Pelodiscus sinensis: one gene and its partners. The protein of the gene in region 1 interacts with the protein of each later gene in a biochemical or structural test. Links are inferred from orthologs where the notes say so. Each region holds a gene or a part of one and is shown in the gene's direction. Other genes may lie near its edges. The genes, in order: RHNO1, TOPBP1 and HUS1.

Region 1 (6,940 bases):
ATCTTTGTCCCAGCTAGGGATGTAAAAACAGCCCAGAATAGTTAAGCAGTTAAATGATTTAACTGCAGGCAGTGCGGGTTGCTCTGGACCCGGCAGCTCGCTGTGGCAGCTGCTCCTGCACGCCTCCAGCCAGGCCCCCATTATGGGGTCAACAGATAAGCATGCTGGTAAGGTATATGTTTACTGGTTAACCTTTAACATCTCTAGGCCCAGGCTGAAAAATCCTCTCTCTTGTAGTTCTGACCCCCCCTCACTTCCCACTCTGTCACTATAGGCACTTCCCAAGTTACAAATATCTGACTTAAGAAAATCTGCACTTGCAAACACAAACGCACCTGCAGCCTCAGGGAACAGGCAGGAGGCACAGGTTGCAGCAAATAGCGCAAGTGCTAGACGGAGGACTCTGTAGGAATAGGGGGTGACTGTGCAGCTGGCAACTGAAGAGAAGCAGCACTTACTCCTCTGGAGTTCTCCTTCCGCATTCCTCCTCCATGTGAGTGGGAGCTAGGTGCAGCTCCCAGAGGGTAGGGGAGTGGGGTGGGGAGGAAAGGGAGGAATGGCTGGGAGGATGGGGGCTGCCAGAGCAGGCACTGAGCATGAGAGGGGAGAGAAAGCTGGCAGATGGGGATGGCTGCAGGAGCCAGCACAGAGACCGGGGAGGGAGTACAGTTGAGGGATGCCCAGAAGTTCCCTTTCAAATCTCCACTTAACTCCTCATCCTCCTTTCCTCAAGCAGCAGCATTCAAGGTTAAATGAAAAACTATTTCTATAATTTTTCATTGCAAATTTATAGTATTTCAGCTACATTATGGGTCACATAGGCTTTTGTGGGCTAGCCTGGGCACCTAACCACCATTCAGAATATTGTTTCTGTGGGAAAATGCACTCTGAGTTTCAAATAACCAACTTACAAACTTTTCAAACACAACCCTTTCATAAGCTGGGGACTTTCTGTATACCAAAATCCTGACCTGTAACATACCTTACCAACTCTCAGAAAAACCCCAGGCCCTAAAATCACTGACTTTTACTTGGACTCAGGATTTGAACACCTATCAGCGTACATATAAACCTAATATATTAATCACCTGGGTTGCTTGAAATTTCACATTTTCACCACTGCGCTCTCCTATATCAAGCAGAGCATCAATCCCCCATCTCTACCCACTCCACATTGTGCTGAAGAGTTCAACAGAAGGGTACAGCCTACGTACTGTTTCCTTCCTGTTCTTGTCCTTCCATGGAATTGACTTGTGGATGCCACAGTACCGGCCTTTCCATAATCCCAGGGTTTTGTCCAATGTTCTTCTCTCCATCCTGACAATCTGCTGCTGTGGCTCCCTTTGTTGCTGTGCTTGTCTCATCATTTGATTGGAGCTTCTGCTGAGTTGCTGGTGAGCCTGTGGGGAGTGAGTTGCCCCCACTGCTGATGAGAATGAACTTGTTGGGCCCATTGCTGCCACATTCTTTCCCTTTGGCTGTCAGAGCCTCGATGATACTCTGAATGTCAGCATCGGGAGGGATGACTACCACCTGGGTGTTTGTCATGGTAGGGTGATTAATGATCTTTATTCCTGCTGGGAATTTCTGGGTGCTACCCTCCACTCTGTCCCTGGATTTGTCCTCTCTGACCTGCTCATGCTTGGGGGCTCCTTTACTTTGCCCATCTGGTTCATCTCTCGCTGGGGTGTTGGATGAATTGCGATTTGGGAGGGACAGTTTTCGTCTCTTGAGAATCAGAGGCCTGCGAGGGCTGGTCCTCATGATTGATCTGTACAGTCACTCGCCATTGAAGACTGCAAGAACAGACCCTGCAAAATATAAGAACATGAAAGAGGAGCTGTAAGCATGGAACGTACAGGAATGGAATGAATTATCTCTATGCAAGGTACCAAATCAGCTGATGTATGAGGGGTACAGTGGTAATCCTAAAAGAGGAAGATTCCTCACCATCTGTCTTGTGACTAGAGGACAATCCCTATGCCCATAGGGAAGAATTGCATGCCACATCCATTGAAGGGAAAGGTTCCTCCTTATTTATTGATACACATCTTGTGAAAACTCCATACAGATGAGGAGCACTAATTGCATGATAACTGAATATCTCAGATCACACCCGTGAGGTTAGTGTTATCATATTTGTTTTATAGAAACACCATAAACTCAGAGCTTGAAATAGATTTGTTAGAAGCCAAGCACTTCCTTTCTTAGCACTGTGTAACTCAATTCACCATCATCTAATGTCAGAATAAATTTCTTAATCTGGACTTTATGGATGGTAAACAATTTTAAAGTTTAGAACTAGGGGAATCAATGACAAAACCAGAAATAGGGATGTGGAGATAGGATAATTGTTGCATTTATGGGAGTTGTGGCAAGTGGTACTTTGCTCTTGCACAAGAAATCTTCAGTGGATCTACAGTGCTTGCATTATACAGATAACGTATGGGAGACTAAGAATTAACCAAAATGGAGAGGATTTCACATCATTGGAGCGGATTAGGGGTATTAAATATCAGTTAATTGAATAGTCGATTAACCTCATGAATTCTTATTGGTTACTTGACTATTCTATAGTCCCTAGGGGTGGGGCTGGCAACCAGTGCGCTCCAGCCCTACTCCAGAAGAACCTCCTGACACTCTGTGCTGCTGCCTGTGTATAAGAGACAGCAGCGTAGGGTACCAGGCAGGAGCTGGCCCGTGAGGGGAGCCAGTTTAAAAAACAGCTCCCCTCACAAACTGGCTGCCTGTCACCCCACAGCGTTGGGTGGCAGCAGCTCCTGTCCGGAAGGAGAGGGGTCCGAGTTCCTGGACCTGGCGTGAACCAGAACTGAGCCAGGTTAGCTGCCCACTTGGCTCTTAATACACTTTAAATGTAGAGCCACAGCAGGGGTAGATCCTTGATCTGGCACAAGGCAGGACGTAGGCTACTGGCCAGCCTGCTAAAAAATTTATTGGCAAGTGTTGGGGAGTGGGGGAGGGGGGGGGGAGGATGCGTGTAGTCTGTAGCATTAACAGACAAGCTTTTGCTTATCGGTTAATAGACTACACTATTACATCTTTAGAGCCAATCCAGCCTGTTAGTAACAAAACATCCTCAGAACCGATAATTTGTAGGGCCCTGCAAATCCACAGATATCTGCTTTCTATCCTCGGATATCCGCTTCCACAGATATGGTTGTGGATATCTGCTGCTCATTTTTACAGCTATGGATCCGTATTTTGTATCCGTGCAGTACCCTAGTCATTTGTACGGTCATAAAAGGGTACAAACAAAACTGACAGAAAAATAAACTAGCCCCCTTCCTAAGTGATAGAGGCAAGTGACACATCCAACCCTGGCCTCTGGAAGGAGGCGGCTTCACGGGACGCCCTGCAGCCACTGACAAAGGCCTCGCTGCATCCTGGCTGCGGGTGGTAGCTCTGCGCTGTCACACACACGCTGGGAATTCTCACCTGCTCTTTCCCCTGGCCCCAGCCCCTTCCCCCATCCATCTCCCCACAGGCTCTCCGGCTCCTAGAGCCCCCAGCCCGTGTTTTCACCCCTTCGCCCTGCCCCCCATGGCCCGCCGGTGCCCACCGACCCCCTTTCCCTTCCTAGTGGCCCCTATCAGTCTCCCCGCCCCGGCCCCGCTCCCGCAGCAAGGCCCCTCCCAGCCCGCTCTCACCCCGGTGTCGGTGGGGGCAGGGGGTCGCGCGCCCCGCTGCCTCCCCGCGGGGACCCGGCACCGCCGGGCTCCGCAGCTCTCAGGGCACAGAGGCAGTTCGTTTCGTTTCCCGGTTTGAATTTGGCGCCTGGCGGCCCGTTGGCATCACGTGCGAGGGCGGGACCAATGGAGATGAGGCCTGGGGCCAGAGCGTTCCATCCGGCAACGGAAGTGGCCAATGAGCGCCCGCGCCCGGCGGTGCTCGCACACGCCTGACCCCTGGCAGGAGCTGGGATCAGACCCGAGGCCGGTTCAACCCCCCCACCCGGCTCCCTGCGCGGAGCAGCGTCCGCGGGGGCGGGGGCGCGGCCGTAGGAGGCGGCGGCGGCGGCGTTTGTCTCGGGGCTCTGCCCCCGCTCTCAAACGGTGGCCCCTGAGCGCCTTTGCCGCTGCCCTCCCCGCCGCACCTGCTCTGTGCTCCTGGGCCTGCCGCCCGCCCCGCCGCTGCAGCTTGGAGCAACCGGCCAGCCAGTGATGGCGGAGTAGCCGCCGTGTGCGAGAGACAGCCAGCCCCGGAGCAGCCGGGCGGGCGGCGTGTGCGTTCAGCTGCCGGGCTGTGCGCGAGAGAAAAGTGCCCAGGAGTTACTGGATGCCTGGGGTAGGGCATAGCGAGAGCACCGCGTATGTGTGTGTACACGCCTGTAGATAAGTAGAGCAGCGGACCCCAAACTTAGCAGGGTCGTTACCTCCTCCTCCCCTGTCTGCACCCTCCAGCTGGTGCGGCTGTGTGGACTAGGTAACCGGAAAGGGCCACGGCTAGGGATGGTGGAGCAGCATTATGTCAGTTCCACCTTGCTGATGTCGTTTAGTGAGGATCTTCCCAGGAGCAAGACATGACTGGATATACTCAATAGGGAGGACACCCCAAAAACCCAAGACCATGGGGAGAGGCACCCACTACAGACTATATCTTGTGTAACACCAAGAAAGCTCTGATTGTGTCCCTAATGGGAGTATGGCTGAGTGGATGTATATAAAAATGTATATTTCCATTTTTTATTAGACTTTTTTGGAGGCAGATCAGAAGTGTGTTCTATGTAGGAAAAAACAGTTGCTAGGTTTGACGACTTGACATCCCTCTGTTGCTTTCTGCAGATTTGGGTACAGTTTGTCATCTCTTTCCTCTTCTCCCTAACTGGCTCCACCAGGCATCATGAGGTTTCATAGCGACTTTCTTACCCTTTTTGATGCCTCCAAAGAAGAAATGCATCCACCAGGCTCACAAGACACAACTGCGATTCCTTGAAACTCCAATAGAGGGGCCTACACATCACTATGGATCTCCATTGCCTTTGGCTGAGAACCCAAGACGTGTTTCTACCAAACCTCTTGACCAAAATGCTTCCGTCTCATGGGTAGGTGCAGGTTTGTTTTCCTTAGTTTCTTATAGTAAGTGTTCTCAGCCTTCTTATGCATATCTTAATAAAGAATTGTTTGGAGTGGATCTTGGACATGGATTACACACACACTCCCCCCCCCCCCCCCGCCTGGTTACAGTGTTACAGTTGCTTCAGATCCCAATCTAGCAGTCACAAGCAGCCTGAGATGTATTTTAAATTAGCGCACTCACATCTAAATGGGAAATGGTGGCCACTGGCAGAGTTCCCTGTCTTGGGAACTAGCATGGTGGCATGAAAAGGTTGGGATCCATATGAGATGGGGATTCTTTTTGGCTTTTATGATAACTGAAAACCTTGGAAATGGATAGTAGAATAGTTACTGTTTAGTTACTCTTTATTGGATTTGATATTTAAACTACAGCAATTATTTCAAACTGTTTGGTATAACTCTCAACTCTCCAGCACTTAAATGTGACAACTTCCTGCTCAACTATGATACAGAAATAGAGTCTGCATCTTAATTGTGGTTCTCTTATTTAATATTCATGTATTAATAATCTCAATTTTGTAAGTTTGCCTATCTATGGTCACCCCCCAATGGAGTTAAATGTGGGTTAAAATGGATGTTATATCTTGTAATGTATATAGTTAAAAGGTGGAATACTTGATGTAAAATGATGAGGCCTACTTCCACAGATGCAGTGTGATAAGGAGCAGGTGTCTTCCCTTAGTTAAGCTTGTTGGTGAGAAATGCAGTTTCAAAAAGCCAGTGTATTGCTTGGAAACAAACAAGTATATGCCTGAGGTCAGTGGGAGTCTGTTGGAAGATCAAGCCTAAGGAGTGGATGTGTTTGTTTTCAGAGGCTTTAGCAGAACTACATAGACTACAAACCAAGAATCAACAGCAAGAAAAATGGTACTACTGAGAGAGTTGTATTTTCTAAAAAAATTTAAAATTGTGTTCACTTTTCACTGCTCATGTACTTTATTGATGTCTTGCATTTCATTCCTGATTGGACAATGCTGGTCAGTTTTACTGTTACACTTCATTTAGGTCAGTGCTCTTTTTGTGTGTGTGGTGGGGGGGGGAGTTGTCAACACCCCAATGAGCTCTTTAAAGAAACATGTTTTCATTGATAACAAATCTCAACTATTTGTTTTTCTGTTACATATTGTTAATGTAATATTACTTGGTTTCAATCAAAAGAAAATGTTGGGCCTGAAGTAAACCAGCAAATAGATCATCTCTTCTGGAAAGCAGGGTGATAATGCAGGCTACAAGCAGACACTATGGCGAAGATATCCAGGCAGCAGATTTTTGAAGCAGTTTTCTATGTACTTTAACCCTGCCCTCCTTTTCATTTTTGTGTGTGTTAAATCTTCTGCTTTTCCTAACACAACTCTTCCAATAGACTCAAATCTTGTTGAGAGGACTGCTAAGTTTCTTTTCACTCAGTCCTAGGATACTTTATTATGATATGCACATTTGCTTAAAAAATCTTGTAATTGTTCTGTAGGAGCTACCTGTCTTTGCAGAAGCCATTACCAGGCAGCTCTGTTAAATAACAACACTTAGGTCTCAAAGCTTTATAACAAAGCAGCCCTAAAAGATTTCAAACTTTAATGAGGAGTCCTGTGGTACCTTAAATGCTAACAGATTTATTTGGGCATCTTGTTCATTTGCAGCTGACAAAGTGGTTTTTACCCATGAAAGCTTATGCCCAAATAAATCTGTTGGTAAGGTGCCACAGGACACCACCTTGTTTTTGCAGATACAGCCTAACATGGCTACCCCTTTAAAACTCATATGAAACACTCCACCAGCCCCAGAGATCTAGATTTCTCTGTTTGATTTTAAATTTATTTTTGTATTTTTAATAGAGCATTTTAAAC
Region 2 (7,175 bases), on another chromosome or scaffold:
CACATTGCCTCCAGCCAAGCCAAAGGAGGATGGCAGTACTCAGGTGAGCACCAAAGAGACTGGAAGCTAGGAACATAGGACACCTTTTACAAAAATGAGCTTGTTGGCATTGCATGTACAGATTGCACAGCATATTATAAAAGTAGGGGCTTGCCTTGCTATTGCTGATAAAGTATTTTCTCACAGCTGAACTGTCTGGCTACTGCCATCCAACCAACTGTAACAATTCAGAGGTGCTTTAGATAGTTCATGAAGCATGAAGGAGCCCTAATAAACCATACAAATGCAACACATCATCTACTCCAGCAATTCTCAAACTATTAATTGTGACCCAAAGTGGGTTGTGACTATTTTAATGGATCTGCCAGAGGCTGTTATTAGGCTTACCTGTGGCCCATGGCTGGATTCCAAGTCTCAGTATCTGAGGCCAAAGCCCAAGGGGTTCAGCACTGTGTGCAGGGTGCCTCAAATTACAGGCCACCTGCTGGGTACTGAAGCCTTTGTGGCTATGCATTACCCTCCTTACATAACACCCATGGGGCTCTAGCATTGCCTCCCTCCTCCCCACCGTACCCACCCTATGGCAGAAGGACTCATGTACTGCCCCCCCCTTCCTGTGGTTGTGTAGCAAGGTTTATTGTCATGAGGGCATCTCAATCAGTGTTGCCTCTAATTTTTCCATCTTTAGGCAGAATTTTGTTATACTTATCAATATGGAGGTGGGCTGTGTCTAGACTGGCCACTTTTTCCGTAAAAGCAGTTACTTTTCCGGAAAAACTTACCAGCTGTCTACACTGGCCGCTTGAATTTCCGCAAAAGCACTGACAATCTCATGTAAGATTGTCAATGCTTTTGCTGGAACTACTATGCTGCTCCCATTCGGGCTAAAGTCTTTTTCTGAAAAACTTTTGCGCAAAAAGGCCAGTGTAGACAGCAGAGATTTGTTTTCCGCAAAAAAGCCCTGATTGCGAAAATGGCGATCAGGGTTTTTTTTGCAGAAAAGCGTGTCTAGATTGGCCACGGATGCTTTTCCACAAAAAAGTGCTCTGTTCCGAAAATGCTTTTAACGGAAAACTTTTCCGTTAAAAGCATTTCCGGAAAATCATGCCAGTCTAGACGTAGCCGTGATGTTTTATCCATCAACTTTATATTGGTGCACATAACAAAATTCATGTGGTGGTGGATGGGGATAAAGGTTCATTGTACGGGAGGGGACTCAGCTGTGGGACAGAGGATTGGGGTGAAAGGCTCTGGCTGGGGGTGCAGGATCTGGGGTGGGGCCAGGAATGAGCAGTATAGGGCTGGGATAAAGGGTTGGGGTGCAAAGGTGTAAGGACTCCAGACAGGCATACAGGCTAGGGGTGGATAGGGACTAAGTGGCTAGTGGAGTCACTACTCGATTACTTGCTTCTCCCTCCCCTTGCTGACTCTCTATCAGAGGCAAGGGCGGGGGGAGGGGGGGCGGAAGCAGGAGCCAGTGCTGGGGGGAATCAGCTTAAAAGCCAGTTCTCCACAGCATTGCCTCCACAATGTAAGGTGGAGGAAAGGGGAGGCAAAGGCGCAGCGGTCCAGGATCCAGTACAAGCTAGGACTGCTGAGTCCCAGCTCGCACCAGGTCCTGGACCTACTCCTGCTGCAGCTCTGCTTTTTAAATGCAATAGGAACTGCCCTTATCAACTAATCGCTCAATACAAATTGTATAGAGTACATAATTAGTCAATTATCTGCCTCTTAACATTCTTTGAATTGGGACAAGGTTCAGTGGGGCTACGTCTACATTGGCATGATCTTGTGCAAATACTCTTTAACAAAAGAGTTCTTGTGTTAAAGTATTTGCGCAAGAGAGCGTTTACTCTGGCATGTGCCTTTGCACAAGAGCATCCGTGCCAATGTAGATGCTCTCTTGCGCAAGAAAGCTCCGATGGCCTGTCTGCACTGGCCTCTTGCGCAAGAACAGTTGTGCAAGAGGGCTTATTCCTGAGCAGGAGCATCATAGTTCTTGCGCAAGAAGCACTGATTTCACACATTAGAATGTCAGTGTACTTGTGCAAGAACTCACCACTAGGGTAGAAAGGCAGCATGTTTCTGCGCAAAAGCAGCCGCTTTGGCACAAGATAGCGCCAATGTAGACACAGCCTAGGAGTTTGGGGTGAAGGACCATTCTCCAAGGCTATGTCTACACAGGCAGCTTCTTGCGCAAGAAAACATCCACACTGCCATGTGCGTGGTGTGCTTTTGCACAAGAGCTCCCATGGTAGTGTGGACGCTCTCTTGCACAAGAAAGCTCTGAGGGCCATTTTAGCCATAGGGCTTTCTTGTGCAAGAAATCCCTGCCGAGCATCCACACTGTCCTCTTGCGCAAGAGCTCCTGCGCAAGAGGGTTTACACCTGTTAAAAAAAGAGCCTAACTCTTGCGCAAGGAACCCTCTCTTACCACGCCATACTGTAAATTTCCTTGCCCAAGATCGGGTGGGCAGTGTGGACACTCTGCAAATTCTTGCGCAAGAATGGCCGTACTTGCGCGAGAAGCCGCGAGCGTAGACCTAACCTAAGGTTACTGCAAGGAGAGAGGACACTCCCAGCTCTCTCGCCTTACAGAAGCACCTGGACTGGGGAAACAGCCTGTCTCCCCAAAGTAGTAGCTCTAGGCCCATGGTCACCAACAGGTCGATTGCAATTGACCAGTCAATCGTGAGGCATCCTGTCCGCCCCACCCCCATTTCCCTCCTACCCCCGAAAAGCCCCACTACCTATCTCAAGTGAAAATGGAGGTAGTGTCGGCTTCCCGACTTTGGCTTTTTGCGGAAAAGTGTCCATGGCCAATCTAGACACGGTTTCCCACAAAAAAACCCTGATCGCCATTTTCGCGATCGGGGCTTTTTTGCGGAAAACAGTACTGTGCTGTCTACACTGGCCCTTTTGCACAAAAGTCTTTCGGAAAACTTTTGCCCGAACGGGAGCAGCATAGTATTTCCGGAAAAGCACTGATGATCTTACATGAGATCATCAGTGCTTTTCCGGAAATTCAAGCGGCCAGTGTAGACAGCTGGCAACTTTTTCCGCAAAATCATGCGATTTTGCAGAAAAACTTGCCAGTCTAGACACAGCCAAAATGTATAATTATAAATGCTTCATTTTAGATTTAAATAGCATGAATAAAAAACAGACCATTTATTTCATAACTATAAATACATTATTTTAATTTTATATATCACATAATTTAAAAATAAACTGTTTATCAGAGCGTGTAAGTAAGGGCTGAGGATAGCAAGTGATGGACAGGAGGAGAATAGAGAGGGTGGGGCTTCAAGGAAGGGGCGGGGCAGTAGATCTTCACCTGTTCTGAGATTTAAAAAGTGATCTTGGGTGTAAAAAGGTTGGAGACCACTGCTCTAGACCATGGCAAGTTTGGGGTTGGGGACAGGCTGCTGCCCCAGGATCAGGTCCAGGGTTGGGCCACCCCGGGGGGCAGAGTCAGGCCGGGCCACCCCACCTGACAGGGCCAGGCTGGTGCCAGGTGACCCTGGCTGCAGCAAGTTGAGGGTGGGCTGGGGAGGAATTGAGTTGGCCCTCCTGTGGCTGCCACAGCTTCCCACCACGTGTGGTCTCCTGAAAGAGCGGCAGGGCTCTAAACACCTGGCCGCAGCGCTTACAGGGGAACCTGGCTCTCACCGCACTTACGTTTGGAAGCCCTGGTGTAGCTGCAGCGCCCTCTGCTGGGGAGGGAAACGAGGACCGGACGCTGCATCTCCGCGGGGACTGGAACCAGCGCAGACCCCGCCCCCACATTCACCCAGGGCGGGGCTCAGGAGAGTCGCCTTGTAGCGCCCAGGCTGCCCAGTTCACCCCCCCGCCGCACAAGAGCCCGCGCGCTGTGTCGGGCCAGGGCCACTAAGGAAAGACCCGCGCGCTAGCGGCAGAGTGAGGGCGGGGTGAGCCCCCCCCCCCCCGCCACCTCCAGTCCCAAGGGGCGTGCGGCAGCCGGGGGGAGGGGGGCACCGTCAGGCGTTGACACGCGCACGCGCCCCCCCCAAGCGGCCCCTACAGCCCCTGGCGCTGCCCAGGGCGGGGCGGGCGCAGAACGCGCAGGGACGCAGCGTCGCGCGGCTGAGTCAGGCGCAAGTTGGTGACGCCGGCGGCGGAAGAAGACCAAGCAGCCAACAGCAGAACTGCCGTTGCCGGATCCACTTAGAACGCGCCGCTCGCAGCGCCTTTAAGAGGTGGGCCGGGCCTCCCGTCTTGGTCACGTGACAGAGATGAGCCCGCGCCTGCGCAGTGTGGGTCTGGTGGTCTTCCCGCCAATCTTGGGTTCCCTGTGGGAGCGAGGCCGCAGCATCCGTAACCTCGCCCCGCGCTGACCCCTCCGGGCTCCCCTAGGCTGGGGGGGAGCAAACCCGGCCGACTCGGCTCCTTCCACGGGCAGGGCTGGTGAGGGGGTCCCTGAGCAGCGGGAGGACGCGGCGCAGCCCGGCGGGAGGGGCCGAGGTGACAGATCCGCGACGGCGCGAGTGGCTGTTGCCCGCGCGGGTGGGGGGGGGCTCGTGACGGTGACGCGCGGGGAGAGGCGCGCGACTCCCCAGGTCCCTGCGGCGCCCCCGCCCCCCGGCTGTGGTGAGGGGTGGAGCCGGCGGGGCAAGCGGCGTTGGCCGCTGGGGCGGGGGGAGGCGGCGGCGGCGGGCGGGGTGTTCCTGGTTGGGCGGGGGAGCCCCGTGTCAGACCGATAAGGGAGACCCCGGGAACGTGCAGCCCGGGCTTGCCGCTGAGCAGAGCTGCCTACGGAGCCGTGAGTCTCAGCCTGTTCCCCCGCGCTCTTGTGCAAGGCGCGGTGCTTAGCAGCGCCCCCGCTAATCTTTTCCACCCGAGTGCGGATTTTTTTCCCCCATCCATGTGTGGAATAAATGTTTTATGTGCACCGAGACACGTGCCAATGTGTCCACTAGTAGAAACAAAAACCTGGCTGTTGGCGCCCTGCTGCAGGCTGGTATTTGAAGCTCTCCTGAGCAGCCACCTAAGCACCAAATTTTCAAGAAACACTTGTGTCCTTCCTTATAGGTCCAGCAAATTCTCCAGGTAGTAAAGGGTTGGAGGAGTAAGTCAAGAGGTTACCTAATCTTCACCCCTGCTCTATTTCTGCATCAGAGAGAGTGATCTCTGAGATGTGTTGAGCATCTACATACTGCAGCAGCGGTTCTCAAACTGTGGGTTGGGACTTTGTTTTAATGGGGTTGCTAGGGCTGGCATTAGACTTGCTGGGGACAGAGGCCAACACCCAACCCCTGTCTCCCATGTGCAGTGTCATGACCCAGGGTTTCAGCCTTAGATAGTGGAGTTCAGATGACAGGCCTCCTACCTATGTTTCAGCATTGTCCCCCCTCGCCCCCACACTCTCCCCCGTGGCAGTGGGGCTCAGACTTTGCCTTTGCTCCTCTCCTTCCCAGCCTAGGGCAGCAGGGTTTGGAGCAGGCTCGGTCTTCTCGGGTCAGGTAGTAATGTTTGTAAAAAGGGGTCATGGTGCAATGAAGTGTGATAACCTATGTACAACAGTTATAAGGGGCAATATATGAGCAAATTAGTAGCACTGACATTTACAGGGAATAGATTTTTAATGCTTGGATACATTTGTTCAAGAAATTCAGAAAAAAAACAATTTATGTGGAAAAATAAGTTAGGAACATCTCGTTAATACAAGTCTTGAATACATAACAGTTATTATGAAAAATAATACTTCAAAGCTTATTTTGCTTCATCCATTTGTTAAAGGATGAAAAGTGACAAGGAGCCATTTTTTGTTAAATTTATAAAGTCTTCTGGCAACTCTGAATATTTTTTTAAAGCTCTTGAGGTAAGAACTTTTGGTACCACTGTTAGCTGTTTTCCTGAATTTACTTTTCTTTCTAATTACTTTCATATTTAGTTTTACTATATTTATCTGTAAATAACTGCATTGTTTCTCTCAGATGCAATATTAGATATTAATTTAGATAATACAGTTGCCTTGTTTAACTTTCTACAGCAAGGATCAATATTTTCTGTTATGTACTTCAGTTTTTTTTTTTTTTTACTAATTACAGTGGATTAGTTCCACTTAATACAGTGAAAAAGTCATATGGTGAAATCATTGTTTTGAAACCAGTTCTCTAAGGAGCTGTGTGCCTCTGGAAAGGTGCTGAAGCACTCAGTACTTTGGTCCTAGTACTGGAGACAGTCACTGCCTGGCATGGCCCTTACTACTGTGAGATGTATTTTGAAATAATTTGAAGATCGATTCAAATTAAAATCCGGTGTAATCTGTTAACTGGTTAAATGTTACATTTCCCTGATTAACAGGGATCTTGTGAGCTGGCATGCCCCTCTTCTTCGCCCACAGCCTGGCGGGCCTGGCCAGGCTAGAGTGCCCCCAGCTCATGGCATGGCACAGTGGAACCAGCAGGGCTGGAGCAGGCCTCTGCCTATATTGGGTGGGGGCTACTTCCACTTAGCCAGGCTGCTGCTGATGTTAACTGGTGACATCCGTAACTTAATTAAGAACCTTGACTTCCTCCAGGAACAAATTGTCCTGCAAGATTTGAATTAACTTATTGAATGCTGTGCTTTGATAGCTAGTATTTGAATGATTGGGATCAGTGATTGTAGAAGGCATTCAGCAGGTCCCAGAACAGAATGAGGTGCAATCTTGAGGGTTCAGGTCCCTCTTCCGTGCTAGTACTGAAGAGGGTGCTAAGTCATTTCTCCCCTGAGAAGTCAGTGGGAATTAGAAGGTTCTCATCATCTTGCAAGATAATGTCCAATACATGAAAATGTGTACCCTGTACATTGCAGTGGATTGAAATAATATTATATTTTTGTTTAGTTGCACTGCAAGTAGATTCTTCTGTAGTAATTTTGCTGTAAGTAATTTCAACTGTATATGTTTTGCAATTGCCATAGGTAGATTTATCTTAACTGTTTTATCTTTGAATTTAAGTTAAGTATATTGTTCCATGTTTTCTTGCAGTCCATAAAAGAATTTCAATCCGAAGAATATCTTCAGATTGTTGAAGAAGCACCAGCACTCAATATAAAAGAAAATGACAAATCCCTTTACATCTGTGACCCTTTTAGTGGCATTGTTTTTAGTCATCTCAAAAAGGTTTGCTACGTACTATATTACTTACAAGTGGCCTATTTCTTTCTAA
Region 3 (7,739 bases), on another chromosome or scaffold:
TGAAAAATATTTTGAAATACCAGGGGGCTTGCGTAGACACAAAGTAGTTATTTTGGGAGACCTCCGGTATCTCAAAATAGCCCTGCAGTATAGATGTACCCTTAGTTTCATGACAAGCTCAAGGAGGCACCTGTACCAATCTTTTTTTTTTTTTTTTAATATATCTGCCATATGCGTTACTCCTGTATAATGTTTTCCAAAGTCCCTGACAGTTCTCAAAAATGCAGCCAATGACCATGAAACAACATTGTGATAGTTTGGCTAAGTTAGGTATTGCAAATTTGAAAGAATGTATGACACTGCGTTTTTCTCTATTTGAACAACCAGACTCCGTGGTTAGAAAGATTGCTTCCATGGCATACAAATAGCATCTGCAATGTTTTTCAGATCACTGTAACCCCAACCTGTAAAATGCAGAGCACAGCTCTTATTTACTTCAATAAGAGTTGAGCAAACTGAATACATCATGGAATTGGCCCCCTCGTGATTCAGTTATTAATCCCTGGAGTGTTGCAGCTCTTAGACTAAAGGCGTATTTACATCTAGCTTGTTTTACTAAAATAGCTATGGGGTTGTGCATAGAACAGCTGACAGAAACAAAATAAATAGATGTTGGTTTTGCAGGCATTTTGCCTCCTATTTATCATGTCTCTTGTTTAATTGTTTTCATTTTTCATAATTAAATACAGAAATACAATATTAAACCAATGTAAGCAGCATTAACCAAACAAAACGTAAGAAAGAATTTATTTTAATATACGTTACAATCATTAAAATATTTTAATAGAATCACAAAAGATAAAATAATAAAGAACGATAGCACTGGAAGATAATACTACATATAAATGCAAAATTCTTTTTAAAAAAAGAATAAAAAATAAGGAGAAAATCAGTTTTAGTCAAAGGACTTGCATACAGCACTAGTTACAGGGCATGTGTAGATAGACTTGAAGCACACTTTTGCTCTTCATTAATCCTGTGAAAGCTGCTGTGAGGCTCTGCATCCCTATGCAAATTTAGAACAGTCCAATGACTTTGGGGGAAGAGGGAGTTTTGAGCTTTGATGTTCCTGTCTCTCTGACAGTTCCATTTTAAGAGATCTGAGCTAGCTTGTTTCTTTAGAGTATCCAGACCCTTCATGGTTCCTCTAACTCATTCATATGGGGAGAACACAACTTCATCAGGGGCAATTATTGCCGTTCTTATATTACACCCATTGCAGTGGTATCACTCACTATCTTTTATAGTAATTAGGGATGTCAGTGTGTACCCGTGTACATGGTTAACTGATGAGCCTGGGCTCATCGGTTAACCTTCACAGTAACATGCAGCCTCCCTGACCCACCGACTGCCTCTATATAGAGGCAACAGCATGGGATGGGGGAGAGAGATGGGGGTCAGTGCGCATGGGGAAGGGTACCAGCTTTTGTGGAGCCACCTGTAACCCACAGAGGCAGCAGCTGGGGGAGAGCAGGTGGAAGCCAGCTTGACTGCCCGCCCCCGCGCTACTGTCTCTGTATCAGAGGCAGCAGCGCATGCCGACTCCTGTGGAGCCGCTTGCCCACCCCCGATGCTGCTGCCTCTTATGAGCATTGATTGCCGCCTATCCCACCATCCTCTGCATGTAACTGCTGAAAATTTCAGCAGTTACACATTTACAAATATAAATGCATTTTAACATCCCTAATGATAATGCAGTGGGGGAGAACCATGGAGTCTACCCCAGAGAGTGGGCATTGGTGGCAAATTGATCTCTGGCTGCTGCTAAGGAAGATACTTGGGATCTGATTAGTGTTACATGGATGGGAACTCCAGAGAGGACTCAGGGTTGGAGCCTGGATTTGGCCTGAGATGCGTTGATTTATAACAGAGTTTGTCTCAGTATGTTCTACAAAGCATTTGCCCACGTGATTTAAGCACAAGCATGCAACTCATTGTCATTTCTGACAAGTGTTATATATTGTGTCTAGAAGAATGGCTATTAAAGCCTCATGGCTCTGCCTCCTCTGATGTATGATGTAAAACTGATATAGAGAGTTTCCACATGAGGTGAGTTGCTTAATTATGCTACTTGAAGATCCTACTGCTGGAAAATTCACACTATTGTCATTGTTTATCATGTAAAATTCCACAGCTCTTCCTCCACCCAACTTATAGGGTGAAGGATTTTTTCTCTCTCCTTCTATCTTGGTGTTATAATTATTTCACCTGTTACATGGCATCCTCTTTACACTCTGAACCACCTTCCCAGATAGCTATAGGGAGGAAGAGAATACAAGACCCCTGATAAGCTCCTTGAGGTAAGGACTGTCTTACTGTTCTGTGTGTAACACTTACCACAATGGAATCATAGTCCATGACTAGGATTCCTACATACAATGAATACAAATACATAATAACAGCATTTTCAACAGCAGCAAGCTTGGATCCTGTGCCTTTAAGCATGATTCCAAGAGTCAGCTCAGCATAATCCCTTTTGTACTCTAATGCTGGTTTTTTATTATTATTATGCAGAGACTGGTGGGCAACCTGTGACCCACGGGAAAGGGAAAAGGAAGAAAGAAACAGAAAGAAGAAGGAAGACCTGGAAGAAGAACAACTCACCTCCAAGACACAGCCTAAGATGAGGACTGCCAGGACTCTGCACAACTATGATGTGCAGTGCAACAACCAGGATCCAGATGAGCTTGACCTTGCATGGCCAACAGGAGAAGTTTTCCTGTTTTTATCAGGATTGCGGGCAACCTGCAGCCCACAGACCCTCTGCTGCCTCTCTCCCCTGTTACCTGCACAGACTTCTCTGTCACTCCCACATGTTAGGGACACACAACTTTACCCAATTCCTAGGGCTCAAGGTGTAACCCTGTTAATTTAAATGCTCACACTTATCCAATTCTTAGGGCGTAACTTCCCACGAGTTTGCAGGATCTTTTACGACTGAAAGAGCCTTACACAGTAATATCCTCACTTGTTATTTTTTGAAAATTGCCAAGCAAGCAGAATACACATGCTAAGCATACAGTGCCAGGCTCACCAATCCTGATAAAGTCAGACAAACTTTCCCTGTTGGCCAGGCAAGGTCAGTCTTCTGTAGATCCTGGTTGTTGCACGGCCTGTCATGGTGGTGCAGAGGAATCCTAGCAGCTCTGGTCTTGGGCTGTGTCTTGGAGGTGACTTGTTCTTCTTCCAGGTCTTTCCTTTTTCTTTTCTTCCTTTTCCCTTTCCTGCTGGTCTTCTTGAACTCCAGTTTATACAGTGAAACTTGAATCCTGCTTAACTATTTGTAAACAATTATTTTACTGAAATTTTATTAATTGTAACATACTGTAACAGAATTAGCTAGCCAATCATACTCTGCCACTTCAATTGATTTAAACCTAGCACAATTAATTATACAGCAGACAGAAATAATTAAAAACCAGACAGAGATCATACAGAGAAACAGTATGAGAGTGAGGACCATAATAATAGAATGAGGATTCCACAACCTCGACTACTGTGTGCCAGATGAAATGCCAGATGAAATGCTGTTTCTTTACCCATCTTGAGATCTGATTCTTTATCTGGTGATAGTGGGTGCCCTTAAGATGGAATCTCCTTAAGAGCCTGGTATGACACTAATGCAATTTAGGTGAGTATGTGACTCCAAACTTTACAGATAATGGCTGCTGCTTTTCAATCGGGCTGCAGAGGAAGACGTTAGACCTTCCAATATTCTACAGGCCTTCAAGAATGGCTACTGAAAAACCATATTGTTTCATATACCCCCATGCACCTCTCACACACCAGAGCACTGGAGCCCTGCACTTCCTTCCCCTTCCTCCCACCTTCCCAGAGGTGGAACACTGCAAATCACTCCAAAAATGCTGGGAGAGTGGAAGGAACAGGTAAGTGTGCATCTCCAGTGCCACGGTGTGTGCGGGAGGAGAGCTAAACAGGTGGGTCATGGGACCACAAGTGGAACCTAGGTGGACCACAGGCTGCTGGGGCCCACTGCGGTGAAGGAAAGCCATTTATGCTGCCCACTCACCATTCCTGGTTGCCATCAGACTGTAACCAAGAGTGAGCTAGCTCTCCAGCCCCATCTAGTGTTCACATTACATAATTTAGCTTTCCCTATCCTTCAAGGCAACTTTTCTTAAAAATACCCAGTTTATTGTTCCCTTTTTCTCTAGGCCTGGTTCCCCACATGGCCACACTAGTTTATACCAATGTAAATTCGTGATTACACTCACAACGGCGTAAAACTGGTGTACAGAATGCAGAGTCAAGCATAAGTATAGCCTCCATTTTTTTAACTGTTACCTATTTTCCCTTTTGTTTAATTTATGCTTATTTCCTTTCATATTTGGGCCAGTTCTAATCTTATGTGGGGCTTTCCCAACTCCTGCCTTTTTATATGGGTAGAGGTTGTTTTTCCCCTCTCTCTTAATATGTAGTACCAGTTTTTCCCTACTTCCTTTAGCTCTTCATTGTTTTTGAAAGGGAAGAGGGATCACTGCCAGCTCTATACAGCAGAGGAGTGCATCGGAGTGTGCGTGATTGCTCTCTGAAACACCCCCTTTGTGCTGCTACCGGCGCCGCTTTTACACCAGCTGCGCTCTACTGACCCCACCACGGGGGGACGCCGGAGTGACTCCAGTGCCGGGGAGACTCGGGCGCGTACCGCGTGGCTGCCACAGGCGCATGTTAGAGGAGGCAGCGGGGAGGGGAGAAGGGGAACCGGAACTGGCTTGCTCGGGGCCGGGCTTCCCGGAGCGGCTCGCAGCCGGGGCGGGTTTGTTTTGCTTCCAGCCCGGGCGGCTGCAGCCATGCGGTTTCGGGCCAAGATCGTGGACGTCGCCTGCCTGAACCACTTCACCCGTGAGCGGGCCGGGCTGGGTGTCTGGGCCAGCGGGAGCTCCGGGCAGGGAGCCTGTTTGTGGCGGGGCTGGGAGAATGGGGGATTCAAAACCCGCATCCCCCACTGCGTGTTTAAGTCTCGGTGAAATGTGCAGTTGGGTCCCCTGGCTTCTTCCTGTACCGCAGGGAGCGATGCATCCTCGCGGGCAGGGTAAATCGGGGCTGCTTTGCAAGCACCAGACCCTTGATGAGCCTCGACTTGCTGGCTGCTGCTGTCCTTGGCCATAGAATGCTTTGTACGTAAAGCAGCTACATCCGCAGTCGCTAGCTGGCTTGGGAGAGAAGTTTCCAAGCCTGCTGACAGACCAGTGTCACATTTGGCCCTTGCACAGCACATCGTTTCCCAAAAGCCATTGTTTAGTTTAACAAATGGGAAGACCGAGGCACAGAAATGTGTGCAACTGCTTGCCGAAGTTCTCAGAACACCTCAGTGGCAGATCTGGGACTATCTGTCCATCTGGGATATTTTCAGGGCATGTTGCACTGTAACCAATAGGCTCAATTATACATAAATAAAATGCAAATTTTAAAATTGTGAAAATGGCCTCTGCTCTTTGCAGATCCGAAATCATCTTAGTTCTTCCCCAGGCTTGATATATTTTATTATAGAGAGTATCTCTAGAAAGTATGATAAGGTCAGTTTTTAAACCTGTTTGAGAAGACAGTCCCTTTCCTTGTGTAGATCAGACCAGATAACGAGATGCCACAGACTGAATAACATCCAGATCAAACGCCATAGTTTTTCTGTTAAGCAAAAGTGTTTTCCAGTAAATCCATGTATTTACTTTTTTCTTTATGATGGTGTTCACAAAGATTTATAGCTTGCAATGTGAAAAAAAATCAGTCAAGTTTTAATACGCCTTTTAATTTCACATTAGCAGTTTCTAAGTTGCAAAACAAACCTGTGCGCCCAGTGTGATGCTCCAAAACTGAATTATGTCAGTGAGGAATTCTGGGGATTTCTGAGTATGGGGAGGGAAGAAGGGATTGCTATATTCCAAGGTGTTTGCTCACTTCTGGAGGTAGGCTATCATACAGTAGACAGACCATGAGTCTACAGCATGTTCCTATGTTCCAATGATTTTCTTTGTAATCTTCCATTTTTGTTTGTGTGTTTGTTTACTGTTTGTAATGGTAGCACCTATGAACCCAAAACAAATGGGCATCTTGCAAAGCAGTATAGAGACAAAAATAAAGAAGATAGCTCCTACCACAGATTTCTTAGGGAGTGTCTACACAGCACTTATTTCAAAATAGACCACTCTTCCTCTGACTTCCCTTACTCCTCTTATAGGAGGGTTACAGGAATCAGAGTAAGAAGTCCTCCAGATTGACAGTATTTTGACACTATTTTGAAATAACTGCTGTGTAGATACAGACTACGTTATTTCGGAATAGTGTTGCAGTGTAGACATACCCTCATAGTTTAGATGTTGGGATAGGAGATAGGTGACAAAATAAAATTATGTGCAGTGTAGTTGTAGCTTTTTAGTCCCAGTATATTAGCAAGACAAGTCAGGTAAGGTAATATTTTTATGGGACCATCTTCTGTTCATGAGAGAGACACACTGTTGAACCACAGAGCCAGGGCTGGATTACCCAATAGGCAGACTAAGCACATGCTTAGGGCACCAGCAAAGTAGGGGAACCAAAAAAACCCTGAGATTTTACAGTATAGTATTGTTTTTATTTTGAATTACATATGGGGGGTGGTACCATAATCTTTTCAGTGCTTGGGGCCTCTAAAGGTCTTAATCTGGCCCTGCACAGAGCTCTTATGTGTCTCAAAAGCTTGTCTCTTTCATCAAAAGAAGTTGATAAGAAATATTACCTCATCTCCCTTTACTCTCAAAACAAAATAAAGTGTGGAGGGAACGGGTGTGGGGGGGAAAAGAACCAAAAGATAATTTAGCAAAATATAGAAGTTTTGGGCTGCCACTTTCCATAGATTTATTTTAATAATGTTCTTTCCTACTGAACTGCAAACCATAAATTGCAAGCAACCCTTTTTTGGCCTATGCTAGAAGTGTTAGGAATTAATTTAATGAAACGTTATCCCATAGGTGTGATTAACACAATTGCCAAATTAGCCAAGACATGCACTCTACGCCTTGCAGTGGACAAACTTTACTTCATCCTTTCTGATAAAGTGGCAAATGGAGGGGTCAGCATGTGGTGTGAGTTAAATCAGGTATGTGCCAAAGAAATAGGCTGTTATTGCATAATTAATAGTATATGAAACATCTCTCAATGTCTTTAATATTAAGGTGGCTGTTCTAAAACTCTATGCGGGACTACAATGGTGTATAGACTTTTGTAATAATGTATTTCATAAGCAATCAAAAAAGCAGAACGTGCAGAACCATTAGCAAAGGGAAGGATAACAAGACCAAAATATCATGGGCCAGTGGGTCTGGCCCATGAAAGCTCATCACCTAATAAACCATCCTGTTAGTCTTTAAAGTGCTGCATAGTCCTGTCTTTTGTTATGGTAGGGTCTGTATCTTGATTACTGCATGTAGTTCTGATTGCCCCAGAATTGGAAAAAGTGCAGAGAAAGGCAACAGAGATGATGAGGAATATGGAACAGCTTCTGGATGAGGGGAGCTTAAATAGATTGGGACTGTTACATTTTAGAAAAGAGGCAACTAAGGGTGGAGGAGGAGGGAGAACGTTGTGGGTAAAGTGATTAGGGAAGTGTTATTGACCCTTTCACATAACACAAAAACCAAGGGTCACCCAAGGGCATGAATAGGCAGCAGTTTTAAAACAAACATAAGGAAGTACTTTTCACACAACTCACAGGAAACCTGTGAAACGTTGCCATGGGATGCTGT

Evidence for each region.
Region 2: the proteins of RHNO1 (region 1) and TOPBP1 form a complex in vitro, tested with the Homo sapiens proteins (2 studies listed by BioGRID). The link is inferred for Pelodiscus sinensis from reciprocal best matches to the Homo sapiens genes RHNO1 and TOPBP1.
Region 3: the proteins of RHNO1 (region 1) and HUS1 form a complex in vitro, tested with the Homo sapiens proteins (2 studies listed by BioGRID). The link is inferred for Pelodiscus sinensis from reciprocal best matches to the Homo sapiens genes RHNO1 and HUS1.

The regions. Positions count from the first base shown.
Region 1 is NC_134711.1:125,751,642-125,758,581, forward strand, and holds the start of RHNO1 (RAD9, HUS1, RAD1-interacting nuclear orphan protein 1), read left to right. Parts: upstream 1-3,930; 5' UTR 3,931-4,305; intron 4,306-4,802; exon of another isoform or gene 4,803-4,855; 5' UTR 4,856-4,894; coding exon 4,895-5,062; intron 5,063-6,940. Other genes in the region: FOXM1 (forkhead box protein M1), read right to left, coding at 1,215-1,764. UniProt on the Homo sapiens protein: Involved in microhomology-mediated end-joining (MMEJ) DNA repair by promoting recruitment of polymerase theta (POLQ) to DNA damage sites during mitosis.
Region 2 is NC_134712.1:179,227,218-179,234,392, forward strand, and holds the start of TOPBP1 (DNA topoisomerase 2-binding protein 1), read left to right. Parts: upstream 1-4,089; 5' UTR 4,090-4,220; intron 4,221-4,283; exon of another isoform or gene 4,284-4,485; intron 4,486-4,760; exon of another isoform or gene 4,761-4,783; intron 4,784-5,760; 5' UTR 5,761-5,761; coding exon 5,762-5,842; intron 5,843-6,994; coding exon 6,995-7,129; intron 7,130-7,175. UniProt on the Homo sapiens protein: Scaffold protein that acts as a key protein-protein adapter in DNA replication and DNA repair. Composed of multiple BRCT domains, which specifically recognize and bind phosphorylated proteins, bringing proteins together into functional combinations.
Region 3 is NC_134712.1:158,116,852-158,124,590, forward strand, and holds the start of HUS1 (checkpoint protein HUS1), read left to right. Parts: upstream 1-4,708; 5' UTR 4,709-4,811; coding exon 4,812-4,863; intron 4,864-6,965; coding exon 6,966-7,093; intron 7,094-7,739. UniProt on the Homo sapiens protein: Component of the 9-1-1 cell-cycle checkpoint response complex that plays a major role in DNA repair. The 9-1-1 complex is recruited to DNA lesion upon damage by the RAD17-replication factor C (RFC) clamp loader complex.